2 linked regions of the Cricetulus griseus genome follow. The protein of the gene in region 2 interacts with the protein of the main gene of each other region in a pairwise test. Links are inferred from orthologs where the notes say so. Each region holds a gene or a part of one and is shown on either strand. Other genes may lie near its edges.

What was found. The genes of interacting proteins can lie anywhere in the genome.
Region 1: the proteins of Gfap (region 2) and Smarcb1 interact in binary tests that used the Homo sapiens proteins (3 or more experiments, as listed by UniProt). The link is inferred for Cricetulus griseus from reciprocal best matches to the Homo sapiens genes GFAP and SMARCB1.

Annotation. Positions count from the first base shown.
Region 1 is NW_023276806.1:262,696,946-262,707,970, reverse strand, and holds the start of Smarcb1 (SWI/SNF-related matrix-associated actin-dependent regulator of chromatin subfamily B member 1), read right to left. Parts: upstream 6,490-11,025; 5' UTR 6,272-6,489; coding exon 6,179-6,271; intron 2,788-6,178; coding exon 2,649-2,787; intron 1,016-2,648; coding exon 886-1,015; intron 1-885. Other genes in the region: Mmp11 (stromelysin-3), read right to left, coding at 9,138-9,271, 10,515-10,772.
Region 2 is NC_048600.1:115,223,991-115,233,389, forward strand, and holds Gfap (glial fibrillary acidic protein), read left to right. Parts: upstream 1-1,245; coding exon 1,246-1,700; intron 1,701-2,530; coding exon 2,531-2,591; intron 2,592-2,812; coding exon 2,813-2,908; intron 2,909-3,886; coding exon 3,887-4,048; intron 4,049-4,410; exon of another isoform or gene 4,411-4,825; coding exon 4,826-4,951; exon of another isoform or gene 4,952-5,179; coding exon 5,180-5,400; exon of another isoform or gene 5,401-6,198; coding exon 6,199-6,242; exon of another isoform or gene 6,243-6,566; coding exon 6,567-6,686; exon of another isoform or gene 6,687-7,759; coding exon 7,760-7,845; exon of another isoform or gene 7,846-8,412; coding exon 8,413-8,454; downstream 8,455-9,399.

The DNA of each region.
Region 1 (11,025 bases), on a different chromosome or scaffold from region 2:
TGTCCCCTGACCTCCACACGCATGGCATGTCACACACGTGCAATCTCTCCAGCCTACAATAATACAACTTTTAAAAGTTATTTTTAAAAGACAACTCCAGCGGCAGAGGCAGGCAGACATCTGAGCTCGAGGCCAGGAAGGTCTACAGAGTGAGCTCCAGGACAGCCAGGGCTACATAGAGAAACCCTGTCTTGACTGGGTGGTGATGATGCACACCTTCAATCCTAGCACCAGTGAGTTCAAGGCCAGCCTGCTCTACAGAGTGAGTTCTAGGACAGCCAGGGCCACAGAAAAACCCTGATCAAAAAAAAAAAAAAAAAAAAAAGAAAAGAAAACCAAAAACACCTGTTTGGACCTGAGGAGGAGATGGTTCAGTTGGTAGAGCGCTGCTCGTGTGCACAAAGTCCTGGGTACCATCCCCAGCACTATTATAATTAGGCATGATGGCACACACTTGTAATCAAAGCATCGAGGAGGTAGAGGCAGGAGGATTCTAACTTTAACACCATACTTAGCTACACCGCAAATTTTAAGACCAGCCTGGGCCACATGAGAACTGTCTCAAAAAAGAAAGAAGGAAAAGGTTTTTTCAAAGTTCTACCTGTGTGTATTCAAATCTATTGTTTCTTTTGGAAGTTTATCTGAGTCACAATTTTTTTTGGGGGGGGGCAAATGAGTCCCAGATTCAGAACATTCCAGAACTCAAGACTTGGCCTATGTTTGTTAAGAATGTCAAAGATACAGAAGAAACTTAGAAACCAAGGTCAGGCAATTATAAACATAGTGAGTGAGCAACTTTCACTTTACCCTGTTCTTCAGGATGAGACCCCCACACACACATACCCCCACATGTCTCTGGAGCAAACTGAGATTAGGAAGGCATACCTGAGGTAGGTGGGGGGCTCTGTGCTGATGGACACAGCCTTGTATTTCTCATCGTTGCCATCCAGAATCTCTTCTACCTCCGAGGCTTTCAGTAGCGTCACGCTGGTGGCGAGGGTGGTGTACCCATGATCTGTAAGCAGAGAAACCCCACTGTGGTCATCCTGCAGCAGTGTGAACAAGCTGACAACCAACTTGATACAGCACACGAGGTCCTCACATGCAGGAGGTGGGGAAAGCAAGGTGTCAAACTCAGTACTGCTGAGTGCTAGCCTCTTCCAAAAGGGCAATCCGGACTGAGGCTTTACCTAGACATCTCAGTGGAGAAAGCCTCTGGTGGGATGGATTTGGACGAATTTGCCTCTTAAGAGCACTAGCTCTGGGGCAGACATGTTTGGGGGTAGCTGCAGCTTAGGGGCTGCCAGGAAGGCTTCAGAGTAACACCCCAGTGGGAAGAGGTCTGACACCACCACAATCTAAAACACAAAGCAAGATGGGAGACAGAATGAAAGATGAATCCTCTTCTTTTAAAACAAGAGCCCAGAGAGTTGGAAAGAACTATTTCACACCAAGCAAAAGTTACCATCCCTGAGTCAGGCCAGATGTGGTTGTCTGGAAAACAAGACAGAACTTCACACCACGTGATATGCCTCCCCCCCCCTCCCCGCCCAGTTCTAGGGAACCTCTGTCAAGCGCTGCTACTTATCTGCAGGACCTGCTTAGCTTTGCTGGAGGACTCACTTGGTTATAGGAAAGGAAGGCACATGGTAGCAAGACCACTAAGGCTTCATGGGAACTCAAGGAAGGGCAGGCAAAGCTAGGTAGCCACCATGCTAGTGACTATATTCCACTTTTGGCAGAGGGGACACAAAGGAAACTGTTTCAGGCAATAGTGGATTCTTTCAGAAGTGGATAAAAAGCAGCTCTGGCTCCTGCATTAAAAGAACCCCAATACACCACAACAGACAACTACATTAGCACATTAGCACCTACTGACAAGACAGACTACAGAGTGCTCATGAGCACGCATGCATGCACGGACACATGCACCCAGGCCCAGGGCAGCTCTCTACAGGGTGCCTCTGCTGAGTGGAAAGCAGTTTTGCCACCGGCCAAATGGCATGTTGCGCCCATACCCAAATGTTCTTCCTAGAGGCCCCAAAATGTATGAAGAGCATCTTCACTCTGCACAGAGTTGCCACAGCCCAGACCTTGCACTAGTTTCACTAGCACCAGGTGGCTCACCTAGCAAGCCCCAGGCACAGGGCAGGCCACGTGGAATGGGTACATGCACATGAGCTTAGCATACTGGTTGCCAAGATGAAGTATTATGAGATAAATGTGCTCTGGGAGGGAAGCGGTGAAAGCCCCAGAAGAAAGTGAGGGCTGGGGCCACCGTCTGCTACTAGGGCTGCAAGAAGGACGACTACGGCAACACACTCACAGCAAATGGTAGCAAATCACAGCATTCCTAAAACGTTTTGAGACCAACATGTCTTCACAGCACCTGCTACTACCCTGGCCCTGGCCCTGGCCCCTCACATACCCACTGGCCCAGCCAGGAACACACAACAGTGGAGCACCAAAGACTCGCTGAGCTACTCTCAACTGAACCATGTGTGCGCTGGCAGGGTGGCCTGCCCCTGGGATGCTCCCTACCGAACTAAGGTCAGGCTGCAATGAAGACACTGGAGTGAAAACGTTTTATCTTCATGACATAAGCGAGTGGTTTTGAAACAGGTTTACAAACCCTCGTGAAGACGCACCCTTAGTGTTAGGTTTTGTTTTTTTACCATGTGACGATGCAACTATTTTCTTCCTCTCTTCCACAGTGGCTAGTCGCCTCCAGAGTGAGGGATATCTCTTGTACAGAGAACCTCGGAACATACGGAGGTAGTTTCCCACCTATGAGTAAAGCAAGAAGGCTCATTATGAGGGTCAGACCATCGATCACTATGCCGAAGGGCTCTGGCAGAGAGGATTTGCTGGATCAAGTACATGAGATACAAGGCCTCCAGACGCCAGCCTGTCAGCAGCCATAAAACACATTTTGCTGACATCAAGGGTTCAACAGCAGTGCACATCTGGCTGGAATCTGTGTATCCTGACATCAGAACCAAGTTCCAAAAGATCTGACCAGATGTCTATTGGGGAGGATCCCAGACCTCAGTAAGGAGCTTGTGATGTCGATCAGGACGAAAGATTTCTTGGCACTTTTCTGAAATCTGAGACTCCTGTGACCTCCTTTCATCTTAAGAAGCAGACTTTGATATTTTTACAAGGCAATAAACACCAAAATGTCTTTAATTTTAGACAGATGCAAGATAATTTGTCCCGCTGCCTGTGTTGCTTTATTTAGTAACAAAACTCAAACCAGAGACACCAAAAGAATTTTCTCAAGTCTAAAAAGCCCTATATTAGTAATCCCTGGACTATCTTAGAAATCACTACTTCCCCCGAGTAATAGCTTAGTTTGCTTGTAGCAACACTTAAGGACACCCTTCATGAAAAGCTAGTCCTATGATTTTTATAAAGATCCATGGCCTCACTGACTTCAGAAATGATGTCTGCAGTGTCACACAGTGGGGACAACCAGGGGACACGGTGCAAGGTGCTGGCTCCAGCTGCAAATCTAGGCCTCTTTACCTATGTAGCCTTGGCTAGCCTGTAACTGGTTATGTACACTAGGCTGGCCTTGAACTCACTGGGATGGGCCTGCCCCTGCTTCCCAAGTGCTGGGATTAAAGGTGACGCCAGGCCCTCCAATCTGAATTCTGCTCTAGAGAGGATCACTTGTGTTATTTTTTCACCTTCTCTACCTATCATAGCGTATGTTTATTAAGAGGAAGTCATCTCTCTACTTTTCTTCCAGAAGAGACTAACAACAGCCAGAGCTGCTGAGCCCAAGAGCTGAACAGTCTGTACACAGACAGAAAAGACTCCTTGTTGCTATTTGGTTTGTAGGTCGTAACCATCCAAAGGAACCATCCAAAGGAAAAGTCAGCATTGTTGTCCTCTAGGACTACTGTGAGGGTCCTGCAGGGTATCTGTACCACAGAGCCTTCCTGAGGTCCCTGCAGAGCTTAGCACACTAGGGCCTGCTGGCTTGACTTTTCCTAAGTCAGTCTTTGCCCTCTCTGGAAAACAAAATAAAGATGTTGGATTTGGGTATTCATTTCTTCAAAGTTTAGTGACTCGTGTGGCACATGATAGAACCACTGCTGATGCCCTCCCCACGACCTCGAGTTCTTCCCCAAACCAGAGCCAGGCCCCAAAGTCCATTTTGGTACTGGGGGAATTATTCTCATTCAACTGGGAGGGCCAAGAGTAAACAGAAAGAAGGCAGTTTAGCTTTGTAAAACCTAAAACATGCTACAACGATGACCTCAAAAAACCATGCATGTCCAGTTTAAGCATCTCATATACATGAGAAAAATGGAACCAGACAGGCACAGAGTTCAATGGAGGAGCTGTGTGTTTAGCACAATGCTCTAGGTTCAATTTCTAGCACCAGAAAAAAGTTGGGGAAGGGAGAGGGAAGAAGGAGAGGGTAGGAGGAAAAGCAAGCTGTCACTTAGCCTCCTGGGGGTTTTTCCCACCTAACCTGCTATCTTTTAATTGCTCCACCAGATGAGAATCTTCTTTTCAAAACTACCACCACCGACTTAGAGTTAAGGCCAGATTTACCCTTTCATATGTTAGGTCAGGTAAACATTTCTTTCAACAAGTTATTCTACATGGAATGTTGAAACTCAATTGCTTTACATAACCTGCATTTGAGCAGATGCCTATTGGCCAACAAGGACCATTCCCAGCTGTGGGAGATGCCCAGGCACTGACTACAAGTCCCCAGCACAGCCACTGTGGAACAGCAGCACCGAAGGGATGCTGCAAACATGTCATGGCAGTTCCTACTTTTTGTTTAGTGAAAATGGGAACCCCTAAGTCCTGATGCTTCTGACAACATTGGCCCCATTACCTGGTACAGCTACGTCAAGAATCATGAAGTGTCCTGAAAGCCTCGGTCTACTATGGTTTTATTCATCATGCAGCACTAAGCTGTCAGAAACAAAATAAAAACCTAGCACACAACCAAAAGCCAACCACACACTAATGAAATGGAGTCTATGACATTGAACATGGCGGCCAGGGAAACTTTAGCTCTCCAGTGTGGAGAGCACTTACCTCCTTACTGACTGACATCCACACATCTGAATTTCATGCCCATATCTCTTTTTTTCTTTTGAGATGGGGTCACACTATGTAGGTAAGGCTGAACTCAAACGTACTCTCTACCTCCTGAGTGCTCAGATTAAAGGTGCACTCCACTGCCTGGCCACCCATACCTTTTCTTTCTTTCGTCTTTTGAAAAAGAGGCACATAAACCTGGTGTGGTACACATGCCATTATTGATCCCAGAACTTGGGAGTCAGAGGTCAGGTGGATTTTTATGAGTTCAAGGCTAACCAGGGTTACACTACAAGATCTTGTCTCAAAAATGGGGGGGGGGGGCAGGGAGGATGACCATAAATAGTTGCTGGTTTGCCCTTAGATGGAAGGCTAGTTTGATTCGATCTGAAAACAAAACAAAAAACAACCCAAAACACCTTTATACAACTTGGCTGGTCCGAAGGACCAATTGTAGGGTTTTCCTAAGAAAACTCGTTTATCTGATTCAACAGAGGCTGTCTCTTCTAGTTATGGATTAGCTATCCTTCAGATTTTTATTCCCTACAAAAACTCAAAATCAGATATCTAAAGTGTTGGTACTCGGGCCCTCGTCCACCCAAAAGCAAACGCCCCTTCTCTCCTAGCACTTTCTACAGATAATGAGCATCATAACGCTTCCGCATCCCACTTCAGAGGCGAGGAAACAAAGCGGAGGGGGGGAGGAGGAGGCCTTCCCTAAACCTCGTGCAACCAGAGATTTCAAGACCCTGGCGGTGGGGTGCACGACAGCTGCCCAGGGTTCCAGGAGCACGACTGCACCTCCACCTCCGAGCGCCCGGGGGGCTTTCCTAACATCCTTTTCGCATCAGCCCGGGGGTGCACCGGCTGGACGCCCTGAGCTGGGGCCGAGAGAACAAGGGTGAAGAAGAAAAGCAAACCCAGAGGGTCCAGGAGGCTCGGGGCCCGGCCACGCCCACCAGGCCACGCCCCAAACGCGAGCACGCGCCCGCCGCCCGCGCCTCCGCGATGAATGGAGGCGCGCACTCGGGGGACGCAGGCCCGCCGCGGGCTCGAGCCGGCGAGCCGCTGCCCTGCCGGGAAGCCGAGACAACGCGCCGCGGGCTACCTCGGAGCCGATCATGTAGAACTCTCCGTCGTCCTCCAGCTGGAACTTGACGGGCTTCTGCCCGAAGGTCTTGCTCAGCGCCATCATCATCATGGCGGCGGGGGAAAACGGGCAGCCGGGGTCGAGCTGGAAAGAATCCGGTGGGCTGGGGCGGGGCCGAGGTGCGTTGGGCCGAAGGGAACGGAGGCCGGGAGGTGGAAGGTCGGGCAGGGCAAGCCAAGCGGGCGGGAGAGCGGGCGGGCGGGCGCTCGTGCCACTACTGGGCTCCTTTAGCGGCCGTGCAAACGAGCAGGCCACCCTCCGTGCGCATGCGCGGTACGGGGGGGGGGACGCCAACGTGCGCGCCGCCACCTGCGCGACACAAGGCCGAGCGCGTTCCCGCGGGCCCTTAAAGGAACCCGAGCGCTTTTCGCTCCCGGGGGACGGGAAGCGGGGGTGTGGGAGCGGCCTCCCTTGTCTGTGATGAAGGGAGACTTCTCAGGGACATAAATAGCCACCCAGGCCCCGACTCGGGCGGTGACCCTCCTAGTCGCACAGCCAGGGCTGGCACTCGGCCCGGGGGTACGCGGGGAGGAGGAGGACCGCTCCTGGCGACCCCAGGCTGGCGCCTCAGGTTCTCCCCCGGAAGTGCTCTAGGAACGGCTGTCTCCGCTGCAGGCCCAAATAGGGACGGGAAGCATGACCGTCCTGGAAGGGGGTCGGTGCCTTGTGCCAAGTGGACGGGAAGGACCGCTTGCGTTCTTCCCTTAGCTCTTCAGCCCTGCGCCGAGCCTCTGCCCCTGGGGCCTGCCTTACCAGCCCTGAGGGAAGACAGTGCCGCGGGAAAACGCCCAAGCAGCCCTGAATCTGTTGTCTCAAAAATGTTTGAGTAATGTTTATTGTAGCGCTGTTGCCAGAGCTAAGTTAAAGCCCCCGCCCAGGTAGCTATTCAGCAATAGAAGAGCGGATAAAGAAAATGAGGTATAATAGGCCAGGTTTGGGGGCGCAGGCCTTTTAGTTCCAGCCCCCCGGGAGGCAGAGGCAGGTGGATTTGTGTGCGTTAGAGGCCAGCCTGATCTCCAGAGTGAGCTCAAGGACATCCAGGGCTATGTAGACACACACTGTCTCAGAAAACAAACAAAAAAGGAAAAAAAAAAAAGAAAGTGAAATGTGTTGTGTACACAATGGATTTTTTTTTTTTAGCTACAAAACGAAATAATATTAACTGAAGAAAAATGGATGCACCTGGAGATAATCACATTAAACAAATTAAGCCAATCTCAGAAAGATAAATGTGTTTTCTCTCATTTGTGGTTTCTAGATTTTTTTATAGATACATAAATTATGTATTGCACTGAACATGAGCAGAGCGTTGGTGGCACACGCCTTTAATCCCAGCACTCGGGAGGCAGAGGCAGGTGGATCTCTGTGAGTTCGAGGCCAGTCTGGTCTCCGGAGCGAGTGCCAGGACAGGCTCCAAAGCTACACAGAGAAACCCTGTCTCGAAAAACCAAAACAAACAAAAACACAAATACACAGAACATAAAAGTAAAAGTGACATTGTGTAGGTGAGCAAAGGAACTATCAGGAGCTGGAGGAGAGTTAAGGAGAGGTTGGGGTCATGGGGGAATGTGCAAAACATACACTTCTATGAAAGTTGAAAACCAGTGGCCAGTTAGTGACCCCGGTGACTATTTCATGAGAGTCTGTCTAATGAGATTGCAGTGGTGTCAGAGTCATTATGAAGGAGATGCTAAGAGCTAGGAAGGGCCGTGGCAACCGTGAGTTTTGTTCACTGTTCTCACAGCAGTGGGAACCAGAGTTTTAAGTTACGGGCCAGGCATGGAGGCTTACACTTTTAATCCTAACACCCCAGAACCCCAAAGTCATAAGCAGGCAGATCTCTGAGTTCTAGGACAGCCAGGGATCTATGAGACCATACCTGCCCCCCCACCCCAAGGAAGGGGTAGTTTAGACATGATTGTATCAAATGACCTGCTTTGGGAGGGTATCAGGAGCAGATGAGGACACAGGCAACCAGTTTAAAAGCCACTGGAGGTGCCCCTCTCTACTTGTGCATTAATGGAGTAGGAGAAACCTTAAACATTGGTCCTAGCACCAGGAAACAGTCTTAGGTGGTGAAGGGTTTGACTCTAGCTCCCAAATCCTGACTGCAATTGCAAAGATAAACCAGACAGACGCTTAGAAAACACTCACGTTTAATGACAGTCTCAGCTTTTTTTTAAAAAAAAAAAAAAGGCTTTATACACTGTATACACATTTATATGGCTTTGGAAGGTACCTGTGCTAGGAAGAGCGCCCCCACCAGGAAGAAATGGCCCGGGACAAGGCTCTGAGGTATGTGGGACCTCTGAGGTTCAGTGTCTCCCAGAGGAAGCAGAAGCAGCTGCCTCCCTGGCTGGCTGGCTGGCTGGCTGTGTACCTTTTGGCTGGGAAATCTATCTCTGATTCACCTGCCAGAAGTCTATCGGTCCAGCATCTCCCCAGAGCTGACTTATTAGGAAAGATACTGCCCTGAGGCCCAGCTGATTGGCTGGGGCAGAATGGTACCCTGGGGATTTCATCACTACCACCACTACCCACAAGAGCCTCCTTATAAAAATGAAGACACTGTGGTCCCCACATTCATTTGGAGAGGTTCTGCTTTGAGGGGCAGAGATGAGGCCGTGGGCAGTCAGGTTGACTATAATCTACATAAGTGGTATATTGTTGGCCTAAGACCGCCCTTATTTTTAAGTCACACCAAAGCCTTTGCCCAGTCTAAGGCAGTCGCTGACAGGTGACCATGACCAGCATGGCCCTCCTTGCAAATGGTGCCATAACCCAACCCACTCCCCTGAGGAGACATAGGCTCTGTCTGTCCCATGCCTGAAGCCACAAAGATGGTGGCTGTGGGTCTCTTTAATGATATAAGTGACCTGGCAGGGGGTCAGTAGCCCTGAGTATGTCCAAAGTGTTGTCAACGGAATGTATTGGCGGGTTCTGCACAGTCAAAGAAGTCAGGGCCTATAAGGCGAGGAAAGCCCTCCAAAACCTTCACCTTCACAGGGTCAAACTTCCAGTAGAGATGGCCACGCAGGAAGTAGGCATAGCCTGAGGAGAGAAGGAGGTGAGGCTGGGTAAGCAGATACTGGGCTCTGCACCTGCCTGTCAGGCTGAGCCTGAGGAATGATGTTGTGCTGAGTGAGCAGGCCATGGCCACTGCTGGATTCTTTGGAATCTGCACAGCTGGATATAGTGGCTTTCATGTCTGTACTCCCTGCACTCAGGAGGTAGAGGCAGGAGGAGAAAGAGTTCAAGGGCATCCTTGGCTACATAACAAGTTTGAAGCCAGCCTGGGCTACATTTATTTACTTCCTGTGCCTTCAAAACAAAATAAATGTGCAGACTCCAGAGCTTGCTTACCAAAACCTCCTTTCCCTTCACGGAGCCCTTCTGCCTGCCCCCAGGGTCTGGTCCAGTAGGTACTGGGAACCTCAGATCAGGAAAGAAAGTACTACTTCCAGTACCAAGCTCCCCTTCACTTCCACACCTGCCCACAGACCACAGAAAACAATACCAGAGGTAGAGAGCTTGATGCTACTCAAAGCAGTTCTCCCAATGAGTCCCAGTGTGAGTGAGCACAGAAGCAAAGGAGAGTAGCAAGCAAGAGAGCACTGGGCTTGTCTCTAGTTCCCTGCACTAGAAGCAGGGGGAAGCCTGGTGGTCCAGTGGTTAGGAGCAGTAACTGATGGGAATCCTGGCTCTCCCATTGTTTATCTGGTATGGTTAGTGACCTCACTGCCCGTTCTTCTGTTTGACCCTCTGAACCTATGCCAGCAAGAGCTGTTATGGCCAGACATGGTGGTGCACTCTTTATCCCAGCATGTGGAGGTAGCAGTAGGCAGATTTCTATGAGTTCAAGCCCAGCATGGTCTACAGGGCAAGTCCCAGTTTAGTCCAGGATACATAGTAAGACCTTGCCTCAAACAAACAAACAGACAGACAGACAGAGCTGTTGTGACATCAGAAGGCTGTTCTGAGAGTTGTTTGAGACAAGTAAGGACTTGGTGCTATGCCCAAAGCATTGTTCTTAGTACGTACTGGCTGTGGCCAAGGGACCTGGGCAAGTCCTTGTACCTCTAGGCCTTCAATCTCGTTTGCAACATGGGTCATAACACTGGGTGGCCACCAGGAGGGGAGATGGCGCTAGACAAAGGACCTGTGAGGATGAGCTGGGCCTCATGAAGTCTGGGGTGGGGGTGGGGGAATGTCACACAGGATGATAGCCACTACTGTGTAGAAGCATGAGGGCTACTACACCCACCTCCCTCCAGCTACTTCTCCCCTAACTCACCCTCAGCATCCTGGAAGGCAGCGTCAATCTCAGAAGGTACCCCTCGCCAGTCAGTGGCACGGCGGGGCACAGGATTGTCCACACGCTGGGTTCTGGGGTGGAAACGCCAATAGTCTCCACCTCGGAAGAAGTAAATCTTGTTCTTCTCAGGACCCCAGACCAAGGCAGCATGGACCGGGGAACTCTGTAGGCCCAGCTCGGAAAGTGGTGCAGGGCCTAGGAATGGCTTCTCACCATCATATACCCAGTACTGAGTACCTGCCAGAGAGAAGATGTTGCCAGGAGCTGCCAAGTCACCACTGCCATGCCGGGCCACCGTGGATCTGCTTGGCCACCATCAGGGACTCTCCCAACCTGTTTCTTTTGTTTGTAAAACATTGCTGGCTGATAGTGCCTTCCCAGCAATCATACCCCACGAAGGATGTTAGGACCAGCTGGGATGAGCTGGTTTGAGAAGAAAGATAAGCTTGGGTTCCATAAGCCCAAGTTAAGGTTATTCTGGTCAACAGAG
Region 2 (9,399 bases):
AATCTCCTGGGAGAATGAGGGGTGACCAGGAGGACAGGGTGTTACAAAAATGAAGATTCCAGCATGCACAACCAACTCATTCATAGCTACTCTGTAGAGCTGTCAGGGGCCAGGCTCGGGGAGGAGTAAAGGGAAGCTGGACCAGGAAGAAATGGCCCAGTAGGCTAGACACGATGCCAAAGAGGGGCTCAGGAAGGAGGTCTGCTATTGTACCCTATTAGGGTCCTCATGCATTCCTTCTGTCTTGCCCCTTAGACACACAGCTAGAGGCCCAGGCTGGCCCTGGAGTCATAGGGAGGGCCCCAAGCCCAGCCCTTCACTCCTGAACTCCAGGAATGAGAAGACAGGATGGCAGGGAGAGGACTCTGGACACCTGTTGGGAATGGGAGTCAGCAGGAAACTATCATATAGGCTGATCCTGGAGGCAGGGCATAGATTCTTCAAGTTCCTAGCATCTCACAGGCCCATGGAAAAGTGCAGAATGAGGGTAGCCCTGGCTTCTAGACGCTAAGAGCAGGGGGCAGCTCACCCAACCCAGCTCGTGCTCACCCTCTCTCTCTCTCTCTCTCTCTCTCTCTCTCTCTCTCTCTCTCTCGTGTGTGTGTGTGTGTGTGTGTGTGTGTGTGTGTGTGTGTGCGCGCGCGTGCGTGTTTGCTCACATGCTCGAGTGCACCTACACACAAATGCTTGTTCATTGCAAGATATTCCTGTGTGGGCCCATGTGCACTGAGGTTAAATGTCAGCATCAGGTATTGTTCCTCAGACACTGTTGCCTTGGTTTTCTTTGAGACATCGTTTCTCTCTGGGACCTGGAACTCACCCATTAATCAGTGAGACCCAAGGATCCTCCTGGTTTTCTTTCCCCAGCACTGGAGTTACAAGTACACATCGTCAGACCTGACCTTTTGTTTTCATTCTGTGACTAGAACTTGAGTCTTCATGCTTGACAGGCAAGCAATTTATGGGCTGTTTCCTCAGCCACTCTAGCCCTCTCTTGACCCATCTTACCAGAAAGGGGTTTTTCTTCATCACTGGTGAAGCCAAGCTGGTGTGCCCAGGGAAACCTTGACTCTAGTACAAAGACCTCAGTGGGGTGAGAGGAGCTCTCCCCGTAGCTGGGCTAGGGCCCAGCTCCACCCCCTCAGTCTATTCAGTGGGGTGCTGCCAGGAAGTCAGGGCAGAGCCAGTTCAGCCCATTCCTCCATAAAACTCTGACATCCCCAGAGCCAGCAGGGCCAGGGCAGGATGGAGCGAAGACGCATCACCTCTGCACGTCGCTCCTATGCCTCCTCCGAGACGGTGGTCAGGGGCCTGGGTCCCAGCCGCCACCTGGGTACCATCCCACGCTTCTCTTTGGCTCGAATGCCTCCTCCACTCCCTGCCAGGGTGGACTTCTCCCTGGCCGGGGCTCTCAATGCTGGCTTCAAGGAGACTCGGGCCAGTGAGCGCGCTGAGATGATGGAGCTCAACGACCGCTTTGCTAGCTACATCGAGAAGGTCCGCTTCCTGGAACAGCAAAACAAAGCACTGGCAGCTGAGCTGAACCAGCTTCGTGCCAAGGAGCCCACCAAACTGGCGGACGTCTACCAGGCAGAGCTGCGAGAGCTGCGGCTGCGGCTGGACCACCTTACTGCCAACAGTGCCCGGTTGGAGGTGGAGAGGGACAATCTGGCACAGGACCTGGGCACCCTGAGGCAGAAGTGAGGAGGGGGTCAGGGAAAATGGCTAGACAGAACCGAGAGGGATGCCTATAAGGAAGGGTACTGACTCTGGCAAGGGCTCGGCGTTTCAGCTGCTGCATTTCCCCATGCCTGGGAAAGGGAGAGCTATCTTTGCTCCCTAATATGATGGGAATAGGCAGGGAGAGGCCAGAACTTCAGCGATCTGATTCCCAAAGGTCTGCTGCCAGGGAGCCTGGCACGCGGGACATCTCCACACTGGGGAAGGCTGTGTGGGCAGCGAGGGCACCAGCCAGCAGGTGCTCTGCTTTTTCATTCATTTGGCACTGTGAATCTGACGAGTGAAGGCTTATGTCCACAAGGAGGCTCTGGTCTCTGAAATAGAGAGAATGAAAGAAAGGGCAGGCCTGGGTGCAGAACCCCGATGACTGTCTGTCACCAGTTTTTGTCATAGCTGTGAAGGAGAGGTCATGATACAATCTGTCCTAAAAGGTGGAACTCTGGGGCATGGTGCTTTGCTGAGTGGTGGACATTCGTGTGCCCATATAGTGCAGGAGGTGCACTGGTGTCTGTAAAGCGTGCACATGGTGGTGGATGCGCCTGTGCGAGCATGAGCAGGTGCACCAACCCCGATAAGGCACCTCAGTAATGAGTTAAGGCAGAAACTCTTATCTGCTGCTTACTCTCTCAGCCAGGGCCTCTGTTTAGGAAGCCTCTGCTCCTTACGTCTCCTGCCACTCTGTGGGTCCTGTGAGAGTGTTTTATGACAGTCAATTCCATAGAGGTTGGGACAGGGATCTAATAAGAGTTCTTAGGAAAGCATTAAGCCCATACTGTGTCCCATATCCCAGGCTCCAAGATGAAACCAATTTGAGGCTGGAGGCTGAGAACAACCTGGCTGCCTATAGACAGGTCAGAGAGATGGGAGGGATGGGCAGCTGGGGTGGGGGTGTGTGTGTTGGGGGTAGGGCTTGGGGGTGGGGTTAATGACTGCCCACCCAGACATAGGCCCTGAACTTAACCCTTCACTGCAGTTGCCTGCTTCCCAGACCCCCACAAGGAGGGAGAAGACAAAACTGGAGGTTGTAGTGGGGTGGGCTCTGGGGTCAAAAAAGGCCCTCTCCCCACTCCAGGAGGCAGATGAAGCTACCATGGCCCGTCTGGACCTGGAGAGGAAGATTGAGTCGCTGGAGGAGGAGATACAGTTCTTGAGGAAGGTCCATGAGGAGGTGAGGCCAGGTGGAACGAGGGAGGCCAAACAAGAATCTTCAAATGAAAGAGACAGACAGATGGACAGATAGATACTTAGAGAGGGAAACAGAGAAGCCAACTGTCAGGAAGAAAGAAAATGAAAGAGAAAGAGTGAAGACAGAGAGACCAAGGGAGGTGTTTTCCAGTGTCTCCTACCCCTGGAAAATGCACACAGGCCCTCCCCCACCACCATGTTTTGAGAAGCACAAGGCCAGGTCTTTAGTTTCTTCTCCACATCAGCTCTGTGAGCCCTTCTTGTGGTCTCCTTTCATAACAGGAAGGATGTTGAATCCTAGAGAAGTTAAAAACAAAACAAAACAAAACAACCACCCCAAAGTCACACAGCCTGTCTGGTTTCACCCTCTCCCCCACTTGTCACCAGGAAGATGGGAGACAGTCATGAAAACCCCTCTGAGGACATGCCATCTCAGCATTTGGGAGGTAGAGGTAGGAAGCTCAAAGTGTTTAAGGCCAATTTCAGCTACACAGAAGATTTGAGATCAGCCTGGTCTCCATGAGACCCTGTCTCAAATACACACACACACACACACCCCTCTGTTCTCTGACCTCAGAGCCAGGATGCAGGACATATTCATGCCTGGCTCCTGAACACACAGCCCTGGGAGGAAGACGCCCTCAGATTCTCATTCCATACCCATTAGGGTTTTTATTTCTACTTTTTAACAGGGTCTCACTGTGTAGCCTTGGCTTGCCTGGAACATTCTATGTAGAGCAGACTGGCTTCAAAATCATAGAGGACTGCCTGCTCCAGCCTCTCACATGCTAGGGTTAAAGGTTAAATGGCACATGCCCATTAGCTTAGGCTATGCACTTCCTCCAGTAAAGGCTGCCCCATTTCCCTGAGCCAGTGACATATCTGGGCAGGCAAAAGTGTGATGCTGGGAGAGCCCCAGCTGTAGCCTGGGCCTGAGATACCCCTTCTTTTACCCTATTAGGAAGTTCGAGAACTCCGGGAGCAGCTGGCCCAACAGCAGGTCCACGTGGAGATGGATGTGGCCAAGCCAGACCTCACAGCGGCCCTGAGAGAGATTCGAACTCAATACGAGGCAGTGGCCACCAGTAACATGCAAGAGACAGAGGAGTGGTATCGGTCCAAGGTACCCGTGGGCTAGCCTGCCTCTTCCAGGCAGCCCTTCCTGATCCACACTGGGGAATAGGGAAGGAGGCTTGGAAAATAACCTATCTAGGTGACCAGCTTGCTCAGAGAAGTGAGATGGCTTGCCCAGGACCACACAGGCATTACGACTTCCCAAACTACTCATTGTTATTGCTACTACTATTTTTAACCAGCAAGGTTAAAGGTTAACTAGTTTGCACAATGTCACACAGCTCCTAAGTGAACAAGGGATAAAGTTTCTAATCCTAACCCATCTCATTTGAGAGCCTGCCTTTTTGATGCCTCTGCCAGTCTGTGTCCTGTGTTCCTGAACGTCTACTGTGTGCCGGGTACTCCCCAAGATACAGAGAAACATTTATTTGGTCAAGGAGATATCAGAGTTTATACAGACTGGGAAACAGGGGCTTGTGCTAAACAGGCAGCTTAGAGACTCAAGAGAAGAGGGAAGGGCGTCTCAAGTAGAGAACAGGCGTTGTGAGGAGGCCTGAGACAGAAAAGCAGAGACTGGAGGTGTTGCTGGCCAGGGCACAGAGTCCAGTTTGAGCCGCAGAAGCCAGTGACAGCCTGAACATGTTGAAGGCCTGATAAATCCTTCGGTTACAGTTGCTGCACCTGGGAGAGACCTGAGGTCGACCCCACTTTTCTGATTTTCCAGAGACCGTGTCTATCCCCCATCCCAGGCAGCAACCTGGTTTGTGCACTGTGCCGATGGGAGGCTCCAGCCCTCCCTTCGACTTCAGTTCCTCTTTCGATTTAGTTTGCAGACCTCACAGATGCTGCTTCCCGCAACGCAGAGCTGCTCCGCCAGGCTAAGCACGAGGCTAATGACTATCGCCGCCAACTGCAGGCCTTGACCTGCGACCTGGAGTCCTTGCGCGGCACGGTGAGCACAGGCAGGGACCACTGGTCGGATGGGGGCAGCCGTCACCCAAGATGTTGCTGGAAGGGGACCGGGCGGGGGGGGGTTGGGAGGGTTGAGGGTAGATGAAGAGTGGTAAAGGGAGGAAGGAATCTGAAAAGTTGGAGGTGGGTAGGGGGCTGAGGCTGAGGGTGGGGCCTCAAAGCCCCTTGGAATCACCGGACCAAGTGATCAGTCGGTTCCATCCGGCAGAATGAGTCCCTAGAGAGGCAAATGCGTGAACAGGACGAGCGCCACGCGCGGGAGTCGGCAAGTTACCAGGAGGCGCTCGCCCGGCTGGAGGAGGAGGGCCAAAGCCTCAAAGAGGAGATGGCTCGCCACCTGCAGGAATACCAGGATCTACTCAACGTCAAGCTAGCACTGGACATCGAGATTGCCACCTACAGGAAATTGCTAGAGGGCGAGGAAAACCGGTGAGCTCATCTCCTTAGAGCTGTTTTTTCTCCTTAGAATTCCCCCTAAGGTACTCCAGTAGCCTTGTATTCCTTCCACCCCCAAAGTCCAGCCTAAGGCATAATAGGTATTCAAGAAATGACTGAAGGATAGATAGATAGATAGATAGATAGATAGATAGATAGATAGATAGATAGACAGACAGACAGACAGATAGATTCATTCAACCAGTATTAAGTTCCAGGGCTGAGGACTTGAGCTATTCCCCCAAACTAAGAGGCTGACTCCCAAGGCTAGCCAACAAAGATGGGACTTCTCCCGCCCACCTGCCAAGCCTCCATGCTCCTTCCTGGAGGTATTCTGTGGGGGCAGATAATACACAAGCTCCTTGCAGATTTTTCCAGCTGCAGGAGAGTATTAGCTTCTGGGCTGAAATTTAGGTGGAGGAGGTTGGAGGTTGCTGTGTGGTTAGGGTTAGGTTCCTAGTATCCACATGACAGCTTGCAATGTTCTGTAGTAACGCTCCGGTTCCAGGGGATCCAACACCCACTTCTGCCATATATATGTAGTTCATTACTTTAATCCCAGCACTTGAGAGGAAGAGGCAGGCAGATCTCTATGAGTGTGAGGCCAGCCAACACTGCATAGAGAGACCTTTGTCTGAAAGACCTGAGGTGAGGGGAGAGAGAGACAGAGAGACAGAGGGGGAGGGATGTAGGGAATGGAACCAGGCTGGCCTGGCAAAGGACTTTGAGATTTTCATGCTGTGATCTGGGAATGTTCTGGCCTCATCACCCCCATCCCTCACTGTCTTTCAGCATCACCATCCCTGTACAAACTTTCTCCAACCTGCAGATCCGAGGTCAGTATAGTGGGGCCTTGTGGGAAAGGGTATTGAATAGCTACCTCCTCCCCCAGGCCTGTGGACTGCTCTTGGGGACTGGGGGCAAAGGAATCCAAGTTCTCCTTGGGAGCCTTTAAGACCTTCCACTAATCCTACGTAGAGCACAGCATCCTAGGGCTTATAGCTGTCCCTGTCTCACTCTGCCCTATGCCCCCAACCCCTAGCTGTACCCTTGCAGAACTGGTGAGGTCTCGACTGATGCCAGGTCTGCTAGCCATGAACAAGCTCTGCCCTTCTCAATGTTTTACGTTTTGTTTTGTTTTGAACTGCTTGTCACTACAGGAGACAAAAGCACCAAAGAAGGGGAAGGCCACAAAGTCACAAGGCATCTCAAAAGGCTCACAGTACAAGTTATACCAATACAGGCTCACCAGATTGTAAACGCAGCCCCGCCAACTCTCGGTTAGATAGATGCCTGCTTTTCAGCTGTGTGTTATCCCAGCTAGACAGGGAGAGAGCATCATCAAGCCTATTTCCCCACTCCTCTTGGCCTCCTCTAAAGGACAGGGACCTTTCTCCAGAAGCTTCAGTCCCAAGCCCGTCCTGGCTATGTGTGATTAGGTTATACCAACAGAGCTAGCCTATGTTAAAGGGGACTTGTCCCTGGGAGTAAATGTTCCTGCTGAGCAAATGCCAGCCTCTGCCTCACCTCTTTGCTGTCACTAGGTGGTCCCCTTGGGTCTTGCAGTGCCTCTGGGCAGGCTCTGTGTTTGATTCATGGGTCCCCAAGGCTCTGTTGTTTCACTCAATGCTGACTCAGCCCAGAGGATTAGCTCCCTCTGGACTGCTGCTCTTGTAGTGAATAAAGTTTTATGTTCCCTGCTCTTCATTTTAAATATTACTGAGTGTGACATGTTCTATTTTCCTCTCTAAGGGGGATGGACCAAATTACTTTTTACTGGTATGTGGCCCTTAAGTGATTCTTAGATGCAGGGAGGAAATTTCACGTAGGAATATTGGCCATACATATTTCAAGATGTAATTCAGCATTAGAAAGTTAATTATGCTGACCAGGTAAAAGTAATAGTGCCAAATTCTAGACAGTCAAGGGCCACTAGAGTCCAGATAAGTGACAGAAAAAGGTAAGGATGGGGAAGGGTCCCACACGTATTAATCACTAATTGTGGCACATGTTAACATGTGTTAGTCACCCCATCACCATCTCCAGGGAAGTAGGCACCGTGAGCACTTTTTGTAAGAGAGGAAACTGAGGCCTCTATCTTGATGTAGCCCTTGGTTGTCAGGAAGCCAGGTGCCAGAATAGAAGGCCGCGTGGGCTACAGGACAGCAGTAAGATGTGTCTGTGCTGGGGGGCAGTTGGGAGTCTCCAGCCACTTTGGGCAAACTGAGCCTCTCCCTACCTAGTTAGATAGCCCTGTATTCATGCCCCTGGGTGCATGATGGGAAGCTGGATACAGGACAGGCTGTTTAGTGCCCCAAGAGCCCACTGAGGCCTCCTCTCCTCGCACCTGCAGAAACCAGCTTGGACACCAAGTCCGTCTCAGAAGGGCACCTCAAGAGGAACATCGTGGTGAAGACGGTGGAGATGCGGGACGGTGAGGTGAGCAAAGGCTCTGGTTGCCCCCAGGAGTTCCTGAAGCGAGACTGCAGAAAGCCTGGGACTAGCTCACAGAAGGTCCCTATTAACTAACTACCGGGGCTCCCAATGGAAATTTGGAAGAAGGGATTGACCTTGAATGCAATTCTCCTTTCCCAACCCTTCCTCAGGTGGTGTGTTAAGGGCAACCCGGGTACCAAGGCCTCCTGATGGCTCAGCTCTGACTGGGACAGTTAGGGAAAGAAAAGGCCTTCAAATCTTACTCAAAGGAGCTTTCCAGAGAGGAATGGGAACAGGAGATAGACACAGCATGCATGGCCTTCTCTATTTGTTGGGGTGGCAACAGAGATAGCTTCTCCTGTGCCATAGTGTCAGGCATGGTGTTAGATGCTTTACAAGTGGCATTTCACACCCCAATTGGACCTCAGCATGATGCAATTACAATGACAGTCAAGGGAGGACAGGTCAGGATAGTTGGGAGCTTGCCTCAGGATGCACAGCCTAGCATGGTGGGTCTGGGAGCTATGTCACCCCTAACTGTGCACTGTGCACCTTCCCTGTCCCCTGCAGGTCATTAAGGAGTCCAAGCAAGAGCACAAGGATGTGATGTGAGGTGTGCCCACCTGGTGGCCCCTGCCAGACAGTGTGAAGGGCCCAGAGCTCCCCCTCAGATAGCCCTGTTCCCTTCAACATCAGCATTCCCCTTCCCTCTGTTTTTATGCCTGTCTGCTGCCCGGGGCTCAGTCCTTACTGCTGACAGATGGTACATACTCTGTGCCTCCAACTAACAGGATACTCACCCCAAAGGGGCAGTCAGGAGGGGAGGGGCCAGCAGCTGGGTTAGAATTGGAAGGAAAGAGGAAAGTTGGGCAGAGCAGGGAGCCTTAACAAATCATTTCCTTCATCCTTGTTGTTATGGAAACTGTGGCCAGAGCTGATGGTCTCTGGGAATTGGACTTTGAGTTTCCACTAGCTGCTGAAGGAAGACAGAAAGTCGGACAGAAAGGGGAGGTCCCAAGGCAAAGTAGCTCTAGCCAGAGACTTGTTTCCAGAATAGCCCTGACTGATCTAGGAGTGGGTGGGGAGACCTGCTACCTGGAATGGCCACTAAGGCAGACCTAAGAGTCATCACCTTCAGAGTGATGACTCGTGTCTCAGCCCTACTGAGTTGCCACTCAGCTCAGCAGCCTGTGAGCATGTGGAAACTTGGTTCTCAGCCCTTGGGGGGATCTATAGCATAAGTGGAGAAGGAAGTAGTACCAGGAGGGGGTAGAGGTGGGGTACCTGGCCCCTAAGTGTGGATGCAGAGAGATCAAGTCCAGGAAGGCCCCCCTACTCAGGCTGGAGGAGCACCAGCAGAGATGATTCAGACATTGGAGTTGGAAGTTGTAGGCAACCAGTTACACTTGGCTCTGGGTCCTGGGAATCAAAGAAATGACTCATTCTCCTGAAGACACTGAAACAGGAGAGAGGGACTTCTTTCCATTGGGCAGGGTAAAGCTGTGTCTCGGTTGTCAAGGTCTATTCCTGGCTGCATGGTCTGTATCCACTCAGTTC